Diceros bicornis minor: one gene and its partner. The protein of the gene in region 1 purifies or fractionates together with the protein of each later gene. This does not show direct contact. Links are inferred from orthologs where the notes say so. Each region holds a gene or a part of one and is shown in the gene's direction. Other genes may lie near its edges.

Region 1 (7,668 bases):
CCAGTATCCCTCATGAACATAGATGCAAAAATCCTTAGCAAAAATTTAGCAAGTTGAATCCAGCAATATAGAAAAATGAAAACACTTCATGACAAAGTGTGGTTTCTGCCCAGAATGCAAGGTTGGTTTAATATTCTAAAATCAATCGATGTAATTCAGCATATTAACGGACTAAAGAGGAAACCATATGATCATATCAAAAGATACAGAAAAAGCATTTGGCAAAATCCAACACCCACTCATGATTTAAAAAAAAATGAAACAAAAACAAAACAAACTCTTAGCCAACTAGGAATAAAAGGAACTTCTTTAACCTGATAAAGGGCATCTGTGAAAAACATACAGCTAACATCCTACTTCACTGTGAAAGACTGAATGTTTTCCTCCTAAGTCTGGGAACAAGTCAAGAATGTCTGCTTTCACCAGTATTTTCTCCCCCACTAAACTTTTTATCTTGAAATTATTTTAAACCACCTAGAAGTATAGTGTTGCTATGTTCCCTTCACACAGCTTTCTCCAGTGGTAACACCTTATGTTACCATAGCACAATTATACAGCCCAGGAAACTGGCATTGCTGTCATCACTTTTATTCACCAACCATCTTATTGGAGGTCCCAGAGAGTGCAATTAGGCAAGAAAGAGGAAAGTCATAAAGATTGGAAAAGAAAGAGTAAAACTATCTTTGTTTGCTAATGGCAAGACCAACTAGGTAGAAAAGCCTCAGAAATCTTCAAAAATAACTGTTAGAACTAACAGTTGAGTTTAACAAAGCTGCAGGATACACAGTCCACATATAGAGATTAATTTTATTTCTATATAGCTGCAGTGAACAATTGGAAATGGAAATTTTTAAATACAGTGTCATTTACAGTAGCACCAAAAAACGTGAAATAGATATAAATCTAACAAAACGTGAAAGATCTGTATGCTGAAACTACAAAACACTGATGAAAGAAATTAAAGGAGACTCAAGTGAAACAATATACTGTCTTCACAGATGGGAAGACTCAATTTTGAGAAAGAAAAACAAAGTTGAAGGACTTATACTATCTGACTCCAAGAGTTAATATAAGGCTATAAGTAATCAAAACTGTAATATTGGCATAAGAAACATAGACATATAAATCAATGAAACAGAAGAGGGTCCAGAAACAGACCCATATGTATGTGGTCAGTTGATTTTTGACAAAGGTACCAGGGCTATTCAGTGGGAAACAGATTGTCTCCATAAGTGGTGTTGAGACAAGTCTAATCTGTATGGAAATAAATGATTGAAACCCTTATCTCCCATCATACACAAAGTTAACTCAGAATAGATCATAGACCTAAATGTAAGAGCTGAAACGACGAAACTCCTAGAAGATGACGACATAGGAGAAAATCTTTGTTAGGCAAAGATTTCTTAGATATGACACCAAAAGAATAATAAATTGATCTTTAACCAAATTCAAAACGTTTGCTCTTCAGAACACAAAACAAAACAAAATTTGCAAATCATATATCTGCTAAAGGACTTGTATCGGGATATATAAAGAACTTATACAACTCAGTAATAAGATAAACAACCCAATTTAAAATGTGCATAAGATTTAAATAGACGCTTCACCAAAGAGGATGTACGAATGACAAATAAGCATATGAAAAGATGCTCAACATCAGTAGTCATTAAAACCACAATGAGATTCCACTATATACCCACTAGAATGGATAAAATTAAAAAGCTGGCAATCCCAAGCATTGGTGAGGATTTAGAGTCACTGGAAGGGTGATAAAATTGCTAGTAGGAATGCAAAATGGTTCAGCCACTTTGGAAAACAGGTTGACATTTTCTTAAACAGTTAAATCTACATCTACCATATGACCCAGTAATCCTATCTATAGGTATTTACACACAAAAAATAAAAACTTACGTTCACGTAAAGACTTGTGTGACTTGTCTCCAAATGTTCCTAACAGCTTTATTCATAATAATCAAAAACTGGGAACGACCCAAATGTCCGCCAATGCATAAATGCGTAAACAAATTATAGTCTTTCCATACAGTGGACTACTACTCAGCAAAAAAATGAACCAATTACTGATATTCACAGTGATGGAATGAATCTCAAAAGCTTACAAAAGATTACATACAGTATGTTTCCCTTTTTATGAAATTCTAGAATAGGGAAAGCTGCATGGCAATAAGCAGATCGGTGGTTGCCAGGGTCGGGGCTGGTGGAGGGGACTGACTGCAAAGAGACGGAAGAGAACATTTGGGGATGATGAAAATGTTCTGTATATTATGATGGTCATGGTTACCATCTGTATACATTTATCAAAACTCATTAAATTGATGCATTTTACTGTGTGTAAATTATATTTCAAGCCAATTAAAAAAAAGAGAGAGAGAAGTGTGTGGGTTTGAATCCCAGCTCTCTCCCTTCCAGCTGTGTGACTTTGGGCAGATTTCACCTCTCTGTGCCTCTGTTTTCTCATCTATAAAAGGGGTTAATAAGAGCAGCAACTTCCCATAGTGGTTGGGAGTATTAAATGGGTCAGTTCATGTCACAGGTTTAGAATAGTGCCTGGCTGCATCAATATTAGCATTATAGGTAATGTTCCTGTATTCTGCAGGGGAGGTTGAGTAGAGGCACAAAAAATATCTTGTAAACCAGCTAAGAGTTCTGTCTCTGAAAGCCCCCAGCACTCTCCCTGCCACGTCTTGGCAGTGGCTTCCAGATTACAGCAGCATCGTCCACACTGTCACAGTTGGGCCCAATTGTTTGCAGTGTCCGGGACTTTCCCAGTCTCTCTATCAGAACTGAGCCCCTCCTCTCTGGAGCAGATCATTTCAAGCTCCCGTTCCACGTTCCCTTTATGGGAACCTAAGGCTGGAACAGCCTTGAGAGCCTGGGGAGCAGATACTGTGCTGTGATGCTGTGCTGAGGCCTCCATCTTACATTTTATTTGCCTGGACCTGAAGGACTTTCCAGGACTCTTGGCTAAAGATTCAGCAACTTGAGTTTTTAAACATTTCCACCACCACCTGCCAAAGGACTTCCTCTGCATTCCAGGCCTTGACTGGCCACTTATTTGAGATAAAATCAACGGAGACCATAAGAAGTGACAATGCTGGAGTTCCTGTGTCAGCGAGAACTGAGGCTCTTGATCTGGATGGGATTTTAAAACTCACTCCAGTGTCTTGTTTTGCCAGTTCTATTTCTAGCTGCCTCGCCCCCTGCATCTTTAGTTTCTTTGGAGGGGACTAGATGAACTGTGGAGTCCCCCAAAACCTCACTTCTTGGGCAAATATTCATTGAATGTTTGACCTGGGCGCTCGCCCTCTTGGACTGCAGGCTGCCAGTGTGTCTCACCCGGTGGTTCTCAGCCCTGGCTGCACGTTGGAGCCACCTGGAAGGCTTTTAAATGCCAATGTCTGTCCCCACCCAGAGGTTGTGACTTAATGGGTCTGGGCACTGGGAGTTTGTAAAACTTCTGGATGATTCTCACATGCAGACCAGGTCGACAGCCACTGGGTTAGAGAGACCTGGGGACATTACAAAGGGATAACCCTCGTCCAGAACCTTGGGATGCCAGTGACAGAAACAGAGGGCGTTGATTGCCTCATTTAACTGTGAAGCCCCAGGCTTGACCTTGGCTTCAGGCCAGCTGGACCCAGGAACCTAGTTTCCTCCATCTCGCAGCTCTGCCCCACCTGCTGCCTCAGCTGGGCTTTCCTCGGGCACAGGCTGGGGCACACGGCACAGTAGCTCCAGGCCACATGCCCCCATGGGGTCGCTCTCCATGAGTGTGAGGCCGACTCTCGCTGGGCTGGCTGGGATCACGGCCTGTCCCTGACACCATTGTGTGGCCAAGGGGCCCACAGGGCTCTGATCAGCCAGGCCCTGGTCAGATCCCAGGGCAGCCTGGGGCCCTCAGAACCACACGGTCTGGGAGTGAGAGAGGAGGGCTTCTCCAAGGAAAAATCGAGGTGCTGGCTTTCTGCTGGAGGACAGAGAATGGGGGTGAGGTGGGTAGAACAATTTATGTCCACTCCAGAGGTTCTGTCTCCTGCCCCACTGGGGGTGAGACGCCGGGAGAATGACCATTATTGGGGTGGGTGGCATACTCTGGGGATGTTGTCTCATGTCTCAGGGTCTCCCTCCCCCATTAAGGGGGACGACACTGTGCAGCTTCGCGGGGTGTGGCCCTTTCTGTGAGGTCAGGCATGTCAGGTGCTTAGAGTAGGGTGGACTTGGGAATGAGTGGCCACTCCAGCGCTGTCCACCCTGTGGCAATGTGTGAGACCAGGAAACAGATCGGAGCATATACTAAGACCCCTCGGTCACTGGATGCAGACCCGGCCTGTCTGTGCCCACCCTCTGCTCTTCTTGCTGTCCCCTGCTTCCCCACCCCTCCCCTCCCCTCCCCGATGCCAGCCCCTGGCGCTGGTCCAGCTTGGAAGAGGGTTTAAATTCAAATGTGGCTGTCAGCTGTCGTGCTCTGGTTATCGAGTCAGCCGGACGGCTGCCTTGGGCTGCTGCCATCCCCGACACCCACAGTCAGGGATGAGAGGAAGGAGGGGGGCGCCAGGGAGCCTTGTCAGCAGCCAGCCCCAGGAGAAATCTGTCACGTGGTTTCTGAAAATCGAAACTAGAATCAGTTTTCTGAAGCATTTCCTGAAGGGACCAGCCTGACCACGCTCTGCACTGGGAGGGTTTTCTGGGTTGAAGGACAGTCTGCAGAGGGCTCCTGCAGCAGGAGGTGGGAGGCCCAGGACCACCATGAGCAGTTGCCTCTGGCAGGTAAGCTCAGGCCTCTTGCTCTCTCTACACAGCATCATCTAGTGGGGGCCAAGTCTCCCTGTTTGCACCACCCAGCTGGGGATCTGGTGCTCCTCCTGAGCCCAGGGACCATCATTGCTTCTCCCAGATCTGTAGGGCCTCTGTGTACAGTTGTGCAGGTTGTTCACTGCAAAGGGACACCAGCCAAAGGGGCAAAAAGTCTTGGAATTCAGCCCACGGCCCTCTCACCTGTCTGTGCATTCTGGCCCAGGCCTCCCTTCACCCGAAGGAAGAGCCCCTTTTTCTAATTGGCACAAAGGCACCGTATGGGTCAAGGGCAGCCCCATCCAACTTCCCATATGAGGGAGTCAGGCAATAACAGGTGGCCCCTGCCATCCCAAGGGCAGCGACATTTGCATGCCGTGCACCAGGTATCTGATTGGCCATCTTCCAGGACCCTGAGTTCCTGTCCCAGGACAAACAAACCCGGTGGCAGCGGCTCTCCAGGGAGTGTAGAGGTTGACCAACCATCCTGGTTTGCCTGGGACTGACAGCATGTCCCAGGACGCAGGACTTCCAGTGCTAAAACCGGCACAGTCCCTGGCACACTGGATGGTGGTCACCCTGGCCCCTCCAGCCATCTGCTGAGCTCAATGCAATGCAGGCCCCAACCTGCGCTTACCAGCTGTGTGATGCGGAGCCAGTTACCTCTCTGGGCTTCAGCTCCTTCACTTGTCAGGTAGGGTTAACAAGGCCTTTCTCAGGGGTCGTGGTAAGGGTTCCCTGAGCTGGTGCGTGTGAGCAGCCCTGGCACAGGGGATGCCCATTCAAGGCCAGTTAACAGATCAGTGTGCCTAGGAGCCCAGGGGTCTTGTTAATGCAGAACTAGGGTGCTGCTTCAAGGTGACCAGCCCTGACTTGTAGGGACTCTCACAACAGCGGCCTCATCCCCCACTTGCTGGACCTCGGGGGGTGGGGACGGTCACAGGATTCTTACTGAGCCAGAGAAACAATGACTGGCTCTTCCAGGTCCGGGATACGGGGGGAGGGAGGCAGGTGAGGGGCAGGGTGGGAATGAAGAGGAAGAGCAAGCAGCAAGAGTTACAGAGAGGCGAGGACTCCAGGCAAAACCTGGGAGACCTGGGTTCCCCCACACCAGATGGCTGTGTGGCCTTGGTGGCCCCAGCCTCTTCAAGCTTCTGTTTCTTGGGGACACTGACCTCACAGGTGGCAGCGCCAGGTCCACACCGAGCCCACTCAGCATTTCCTCCCCATCCTGGTCCCGGTAGCCCCAGTCTAGCCCCCACCCCCCCAACCAGCTGCACAGAGACTCAGCACTCAGCTCTGACCTCTCTCCCCCCCACCCCCACTGAACCCCCCCCACCAAGCCTGACATCTCTCACTGCTGCCTGTCCTTCTGTCGCTCCTGGCCTGGGTTACTGTGGCCTCCTCCTGATGTGTCCCCCTGCTCTGCTCTCACTCCCCTCCCTTCCAGGGCTCACATGGTCCAGAACTCCAGAATGTTCTTTATCTGCTGCAGACCTTGGGCACTCCCCCAGGGGTCCGTTGCCTGAAGATACGGCTTAGCAAGGCTCACCAGGCCTCTCCTCATCTGGGCCCTGCACACTCCCATCTCCTCCCTCTCCATCCTCCTCACCGTCACCACTGACAGCCACACCCAGGGCCTTGTTTTCTGAGATGGGCTCCTGTTTCCACTGTCCTCACTGCTCGAGACACCCCCTGCTCGCCCCCTTCATCTGGGCAAGTCTTACTCGTTCTTGGAGGACCACCCTTCAGATGAGGTGAGGGACTCCCACTGGGGTGCCCAGAGCAGCGGGCATTCCTCATACTCACGGCTCTGCGGGAGCAGGGACCGCGCCCACCAGCTGTCCTCCACAAGTAGGGTCTGAAGGATGGATGGACAGACTGGGCCTGGTCCTGAGGGCTGTCCAGCTCCACTGTCTCACTCTGCCGCCTCTTGCTGCAGGACGAGGGGCTCCCAGGCAAGGCCATGGCCCTCCCACAGCTCCTCTGGATGTGGCTGCTGGTCACAGGGACTCAAGGTGAGCCGAGCCCTGGGGAATGCCAGAAGCAACAGTTGGAGAAGCCCCTGCTCCCTAGCTCTACGGGGTTGACCCTCTCCTTGCAGAAAGTCTAGGCAATGTGCTGTCCAGTGCCTGGGTCACCGGGACCAGCCTGGGTCTTCTCTCCTGCTTGACCCTAGTTGTCCCGAGTCATGGTGGATTGTGTCTTGGAGGTGGATACCAAGTGCTTCTCCATTCCACCTAGTGGGAACCAGAGGGACGCAGTAGGAGGGGCACATTGGACAAGCCAAATGCTGGGGGTCATGAGGTCAGTGCCCTTTGGACACAGTCAGCCTTCCAGACTCCTAGACATCTGTCCTCCTGCTCTTTACACCTCAAGGCCCAGGAGCCCCTTCCTCATCCTAGTGACCCCACAAGTGGCCTGCTGCACCCCTAACTGGGAATTGCCCTTTGACATGGCACCCAGCTCTTGCCTTACCCTGTCAGCACCGGGAGGGGCTGGCTGGGGATGTCAGTGAGCTGAGTCCTAGAAGAACGAATATGGGGCCAGGACCCCACTTTCTCTCTGTGCCTGTGTTTCTGGGGGTCCCTGGGCCTGCTGCCCCCCGGCATTCCCCCAGACACCTCCCAGCAATCCTTGCTGTGGTGCACAGGCTGCCCCCCCAGGCCCAGACACCCTCAGGTGGGATCAGCATGGGCCCCTTCCCCCTCCCCACTCTTCCCTGGGGTCCTGCACCCCTACTCTCAGTGCTGTGCACCAAGCATCCCTTCTGCCCCTTTTCTATCAACGGAGCAAAGGGCTGAGACCTCGAAGACAAGACAAGGCAAGTTTACCTTCTATGTGTTGGTTGGGGGGGCT
Region 2 (7,185 bases), on another chromosome or scaffold:
ACCCTTCCATGCGACGCAACTCTTTGGAGTGCTCAGCCTGGTCTCAGAAAATCTGACGGGGGAGACGTGGCCGTGTGCTTAGGGATCAGGGTTCTTTGAGGAGCTGTGGAGCTAAGGGTCCTGATCTCTGACCTCTGACCCCGGCTGGCTGTCACAGCGTCCTTTACTTCTCCTGGCACCGCTACGAACACGGGCGCTTCTGGCCCTGTCTGCGCGAATCAGATGCAGATGCTGTCGGGCAGGGGCAGGGCCGCGGCTTCACTGTCAACCTGCCCTGGAACCAGGTGCCTGCCCCTCCCCCAGCCCACCTCCCCTGCCCCACAGCTCCGGGCCTCCTGAGTGGAGCCCAGGCATCCTGCCAGGGTCACCCCCAGAGGCCAGGCCCCAGGGGTGAAGACCCCACATCCCCCTGGCGAGGCCCAACACTGACACCCTGTGGCCGCAGGTTGGGATGGGAAATGCTGACTACGTGGCTGCCTTCCTGCACGTGCTGCTCCCCCTGGCCTTTGAGGTGACTGCGTGGGGCGTTGGGGTGGTCTCGATGGCAGGAGGGTGAGATGGGGTATTCGGTGCCCAGAGTCCTGTCAACTCCATCAGAGTGGAACAAAGCCCAGGTGGGTGGGGAGGGTCTCTCTGGAGGGGCCTCCTCTGTCCCTGCTCCAGCCTCTTTCCTGCTCCTCTCCACCGGCCCTGCCCACAGTTTGACCCTGAGCTGGTGCTAGTCGCAGCAGGATTTGACTCAGCGGTTGGGGATCCCGAGGTGAGGGCCTAGCCTGGCTGGGGAGGGCTCCTGGGGTCCCGGGCCAGGCCCCCTTCACAGTGGCTCTGATTCCAGGGGCAGATGCAGGCCACGCCAGAGTGCTTTGCCCACCTCACGCAGCTGCTGCAGGTGCTGGCTGGCGGCCGGGTCTGTGCCGTGCTGGAGGTGACTGCGGCGAGCAGGGAGGGTGCACGGGCCAGAGGCTGAGGAGCAGTCAGAGGGGGTCTGCTGCATGGGTATGGCGTCCTGCCTGGGATGGCAACATCCTGCCCCAATGACCCCCTTCCCCAGTCACATCTCTGCCCTCCTCCACCTTCCAGGGTGGCTACCACCTGGAGTCGCTCTCTCAGTCGGTGTGCATGATGGTACAGGCACTGCTGGGTGACCCTGTCCCACCCCTGTCAGGGTGCATGGAGCCGCATCGCAGGTGCGAGGGGCAGGAGGGTGGGAAGGGCTGGGGGCATGAGGCCAGGCCTCACTACTCCTGCCTGTCCCTGCAGCGCCCTGGAGTCCATCCAGAGTGTCCGGGCAGCCCAGGCTCCTCACTGGATGAGCCTCCAGGAGCAAGGTCATTGTGGCCTGGGCTGGGAGGTGGGATCACACCTCGGGCTCCCAGTAAGCGGCAGTAACTCTGAACCACCTCTAGATGTGGCCCCTGTACTGAGTCCCAGCACCGGCTCCCCAGAGGGGAGGCTCTCACCTCTGTTGCCTGGCGGGCCCGAATTCAAGGCAGCAGCGGCCCAGGCCGTGGCTGCATTGAGCTCCCTCCTGGACCAGCTGCGCCTCCACCCCACGCCCTCCGTCCGCACAGCTGTTGCCCTGACTGCGCTGGATGCAGCACTGCTCCTGCCCCCTGATGTCCTCCATCAGGAGGGGTCAGCCCCGCAGGAGGAGACGCAGGTCTGGGCCAGGTGGGCAGAGTGGGCCTGGGGAGAGGGGTGAGGCTGTGTCCACCCATATGCCTGTGTGTGACTCACCTGTGGTCTATGTGTCACCCTATGTCCATGTGTCCCTCTGGTTTGCCCACCACAGGCCACATGAGGCCTTGGCCCAGGACAAGGCCCTCACTGCACTCGGGAAGGTCCTGTATCTCTTGGATGGGATCCTGGATGGGCAGGTGGGGGCACCTGGGAGGGGCGGGGGTGGCTGTGGAGCCAGGGGCAGGGCCCAGGACCTACCCGTGATGGGTGGCCTGTCCAGGGGAGGACTGGGTGGTGCAGAACCACGACACGAGTGTGGCCTTGTGCCCAGGACCCCTCCTAGAATAGCCCCCAGGGACGGGGTTCTTGAGCACCCCTCCTCAGTTCCCTCAACTAAATACTCTTTGGCAGAACGGTGAAGGGGGTGACTTAAGGTGTGGTTTTAAACATCTTATTTTCAAAAGTAGAACAATTTGACTTCAGTGTATACAGATGACAGCCACGTGGACAAGGGCCAAAGAAGGGATGTTCGGGTCTGTTTACCTTTTTGGGAATTGCCCTCCACTGCTGTTATTCACTCCACAGGTGAGCAGCGGCATCGCAGCCACCCCGGCCCCTGCTGCAGCTGCCACCCTGGATGTGGCCATTCGGTGTGGCCTGTCTCATGGAGCCCAGAGGTGAGCCTCACCTGGCCAGCCTGAGCCTCTGAGGGAATGGCCCAAGGGCATCTCCTGCCCTGGCTAGCCACATGGGGAGGGCTCTGGGAATGGACTCCAGGAGGGGTGAGTGCAGCCTGTCCTGGGGCCGACTCTTCCTCTAGGCTGCTCTGTGTGGCTGTGGGACAGCTGGATCGGCCCCTAGACCTTGCCGATGATGGGTATGACTCCTGGGTCATGTGTATGTCCAATCCTGCCTGTGAGTGGGCACATGACCCTGGGGCCCCAGGCGTGATGGGTGGGGGGAGTCTTCTACAGCTAGAATTTGGTAGAGGGGCCCTTGGGAGCAATGCCAGGAGAGTCTCCACTATAGAGGGTCAGCAGTCCTAGCACCTGTCCCCCCCAAGCTCTCTACCTCCCCTTCTGAAGTCTGGGTTCTGGAGGGTGAGCAGCGTCTCACACACATGCACACGTGTCCATGTGCTCACTCTCCCCTGGAAGAAGGAATCTATGGCTGAATATCAGGGGCAAGGAGGCAGCTGCCCTGTCCATGTTCCACGTCTCCATGCCACTACCAGAGGTGAGTGGTGATGTCACAGGGCAGGGCAGCTGCTGCTTACTGGAATCGTCATGAGGGCCAGGCCCCTGGCTTCCTTCCTGGCTTCCTGATGGGACTGCTGGTGTAGTTGCCCACCAAAGATTGGGAGGTGGGGTGGCCTGAGCTGGCAGGAGGGGTATCCCCTGAATGAGGGGCTGGGGCCATGCTCCTGTCCCTCCCACAGACAACTGGTGGGTTCCTGAGCTGTGTCCTAGCCCTGGTGCTGCCCCTGGCCTATGGCTTCCAGCCTGACCTGGTGCTGGTGGCACTGGGGCCAGCCCATGGCCTGCAGAACCCCCAAGCTGCACTCCTGGCTGCACTGCTGCGGGGACCAGCAGGGGGCCGAGTGTTGGTACTGGTGGAGGAGGTGAGTTGGGCAGAGGGGACATGCTGGGGGGTTAGGGTTAGGGTTAGGAGGTCGGGAGAGACCAGTGACTCTCTGCTTCCACCTCTGCCCCTGGCCCAGGAATCCACACCCCAGCTTGCAGGGGTCCTGGTCCGGGTGCTCCGTGGAGAGGCCCCCCCCAGCCTGGGCCCCTTCTCCAGGGCCTCCCCAGAGGACATGCAGGCCCTGGAGCACCTGAGAGGGCAGCTGGGGCCGCAGTGGAAAATGCTGCAGGTGGCCGGTGAGGCTACGGGGCAAGGCTCAGGCTGGATGCTTGGGGCCTTGGGGACATCCTGCTTTAGAGCTCTGCGGGGAGACTGCCCCTTGGGTAGTGGGGTGCTGCCCGGAACCGCTCACGGCAGTGCCAGGGGACCCTCCACCTCTTCCCAGCTCCTCCTCCAGTGCTGTGACCTGGGAGCTTGGCGTCGGCCGGGGTGGAAGTCTTTACACCCCGGGACGGACACCACCACCTGGCCCCCAGGGCCGGTTAACCGTCACCGGCACGGCTCGCCCGCGGCCGTGTCCCGACCGGCCCTGCGTCCACTCGGCGCCCCCGCCGCCCTGCGCGGACGGCCCGCCCTGCCCCCCACGCCCCGGCAATAAATAGTTAGGCAAAAGCCTGACTCCGTCTGCTTGGTTCAGCCCGCGCCGGCCTCAGTTTCCCCGCCGCGGGTCCGAGACTCCCAGCCGGAAGCGCTCCCTGGACGGCAGCTCCACTCCTGCCCCTCCGCGCCCCGCCGGCTCCCCGGTGACGCAGTTCCGGCGCGCCGGCTCCGACGGTCTGGCCGGTCGCGTCGCGGTGACGCGACGGCGGCGGCAGGAGCGGGAGCGCGCTCTTCCCGGGAGGCTGTGAGCGGGGCTCGTGCGCCTGACCCCGCGGACCCTGCCGGCCGCCCCCACTGCCCCTTGGGCGGCGCCTGCTTCGCCGTCCCTCCCGGGGACACGGGAAGGCCGCGGAGCCGCACGTGTGCCGTGTGCGCCCACGCTAGCGTGTCCTCGGGCTCGTCCCGCGCCGGGATCCTGCGGCTTGAGGGCCCGGACCGGGGGACCGCGCCGAGCCGGGCTCTGCGGCCGCAGGGCAGGGGGCGCCGAGCGGCACGAGGTGCCCGGAGCCGAGAGGGTGGGCATGGCCAGCATCACCCAGCTGTTCGACGACCTGTGCGAGGCCCTCCTGCCGGTCGCGAAGGCTCGCTTGGGCCAGCGCGGCGTGAGCCGAAGGAGGGCGAAGCAGAGCCTCAAGAGGGTGGCCTACAACGCTCTCTTCACCAGTCTGTTTCAAGATGAGACGCAGAGGCTGCAGCCTGACCCCTCAAAACTCCCGGTGAAAAACAAGATCCTCATGCTGTCCTTCGACTTGAGGGTGGGTGGCCTGGGCCCCGAGGCTGACCGTTTGGAGGAGCTGGTGGAGGAGCTGGAAGCAGGCCCTTGCTGTCCGCTTGCGGAGGTGGGCTCTGTTTTGGACCTCCTGGTTCAGCTGGCAGGGAGTGGCCCCCCGCGAGTGCTGCCGCGAAAGCGGGACTACTTCTTTAACAACAAGTACGTTGGGAGAAACGTTCCCTACAGCGGCTACGACTGCTACGACCTGAGTGTGTTTGAGATGGACGTTCAGTCTCTGATCTCCAGAGAGGAGTATCTATGTCAGGACATGATCCACAAAGCGCTTCAGGTGATGGAGGCGGCGCCGGGCACTGGCCTGCCCACTGTTGGGCTCTTCTCGTATGGTGACCCTTGTGGTGACAGGTTTGAGAGAGACACCCGGGTCTCGCTGTTCGGTGCCCTTGTGCACAGCCGTACATACGACATGGATGTCCGCCTGGACCTGCCCCCGGTGCCAGACAGCGCAGACCTCTCTGGACTGGCTATTAAGGTAGAGTGATGCTTTCCCGCCTCTGGCTCCTCAGGCGTTTGGAAATGCCTCCTTTGACCTTCCTTTGGTCATGGTAAAGGTAGGATAGCTCTCAAGCCACTTGTGGCTGAGCTGTGGGGAGGCAGGGCTGCTGGAATGCGCCTTCCTGGGTGGCGACGCTGCTGCCAACCTGCACACCAAGACAGCAGGCTGCTTTTCATCTTTCGTCTATCACGGCGTATTTAGTCACTTACTCTGCCCTCTAGAGTTGACTTTTGTTTTTGTTTTTTTTTTATAATTTTATTTATTTATTTATTTTTCCCCCAAAGCCCCAGTAGATAGTTGTATGTCACAGCTGCACATCCTTCCAGGTGCTGTATGTGGGACGCGGCCTCAGCATGGCTGGAGAAGCGGTGCGGCAGTGCGCGCCCGGGGTCCGAACCCCGGGCGGCCAGCAGCCGAGCGCGCGCACTTAACCGCTAAGCCACGGGGCCGGCCCTAGAGTTGACTTTTGAATTTAAGTTAATTAAAATGAAATAAAGTTTAGTTCCTCAGTCACATAAGTCACATTTCAAGTGCTCAGTAGCCACATGTGGCAAAAAATATTTGTTCATTCTCTACATGCAGTTTTATATACTTTTTTTCACCTATAAATGGGATTTTGCCTGCATTATTAAATAAATCATGATTGGCTTTTGTATTTTGTGGCTTTATAAATGTTGCTGGAAGGATGCGCTGTTATTAGTCGTTCCCTTACTATGAGATATTTAGTTATTTCCAAACATAAATAATGCTATAGCGAACATCTTGGTGTGTATAAATTTTTGTGTGTCTAGTATGATTTTTTTGTGTGTGCTGTATTCCCCAAAGTGGAATTTCCAGATTGGAGGCATTTCAGGAAAAATTTCATTGTAAGTTATATTGAGGGTTATGTGTTGTGTGAAATTGGAAATCGATAACCTTAATAAATTAATTTGTTTAACTTCTTAAACGATTCAGTGGGGGCAAAAACATTGTGTAGTACATACCTGCTTGAGAAAAATAGAAACGTTCTACAAGGTCTTTCCTGTAAGGAGTAAACACGTGTGTGGAAAAGTCCTGGAATTCTGATCACACTTGGGGGACATTTAGACTCAGGCATACGTGCTATTTCCTTCTTTCCCATGGTCTCCAGGTTCCTCAGAGTGTGGATCAGTCAGAAGATGAAGGGTTCCAGTCAGCATCCAATTTAACTCCCGATTCCCAGTCTGAACCAGGCATGACTCCAGACATCGACCTGTGGGACGCTGTGCTCACCTACGAGGCCAGCAAGCGGAGGTGCTGGGAGCAAGTTGGATGGTACGGGAGCCTCTGCTTTTCAGTACACTGCCCTTCCCCCCACGTGGAACAGTGCCTTTTCTCAGAGAGCCCAGGCGGTTGTTTCTAGAACAGCTGTGAAGGGGCTAGGAACTTGGAAGTTTCAGTCAAGCTAGTGTACAAAATGGTCTGTGTCCTGGGTGTCGAGAGAAACGCAGAGGGGAAAGGACTTCCAGGCTTTTTGGGGGCTCCCGCTATGCCAGTGACTTCTGCAAACCACACTTGCCATCAGAGCGGTCAGTTGGCAACTGAGTTACGTTCTTGCCCTGAGGGCTCCCGGTCAGGGGTCTGAGGGCGGTCTGGCAGGCTGTGTGATCAGTGCCAGGCTCAGGGTGCTGACGGAGCCTTCATACTGCTGTATGCATCTAGAAGGATTGAGAGTGGCGCTCTCCAGCTGACGAGAGGCTCCAGTCATGGCTGTTTCCCTGATGGTGCCGGCAGCTCGCTCCCTGGGCTCGTCCGGCCCACAGGCCTCTGCACTCAGGACCTCCCAGAGTCTGTGATGTGCTGCTGTCTCTTGAAACCTCCAGAATGGGGATAGAGGACACATGACATACGTTTCCAGGTGTTTGGTCATGGGACCCCTTTGTCACAGCCCACCTGCTGGCAGTTCTGTGGAACACCAGTTTGGGGAGCAGTGAATGAAAGAACGGGATTAGCGGGG

Evidence for each region. Proteins that work in one complex are often made in the same cells at the same time.
Region 2: the proteins of LGALS3BP (region 1) and TUBGCP6 purify together in Homo sapiens (co-immunoprecipitation; 4 studies listed by BioGRID and IntAct, counting the BioPlex papers as one, with this or other methods). This does not show direct contact. The link is inferred for Diceros bicornis minor from reciprocal best matches to the Homo sapiens genes LGALS3BP and TUBGCP6.

The regions. Positions count from the first base shown.
Region 1 is NC_080757.1:58,722,628-58,730,295, reverse strand, and holds the start of LGALS3BP (galectin-3-binding protein), read left to right. Parts: upstream 1-4,661; 5' UTR 4,662-4,764; coding exon 4,765-4,785; intron 4,786-6,751; coding exon 6,752-6,827; intron 6,828-7,668.
Region 2 is NC_080764.1:562,732-569,916, forward strand, and holds the start of TUBGCP6 (gamma-tubulin complex component 6), read left to right. Parts: upstream 1-4,167; 5' UTR 4,168-4,445; coding exon 4,446-5,186; intron 5,187-6,339; coding exon 6,340-6,503; intron 6,504-7,185. Other genes in the region: polyamine deacetylase HDAC10, read left to right, coding at 158-284, 446-511, 701-760, 836-925, 1,081-1,187, 1,261-1,671, 1,793-1,877, 2,266-2,357 and 4 more. UniProt on the Homo sapiens protein: Component of the gamma-tubulin ring complex (gTuRC) which mediates microtubule nucleation.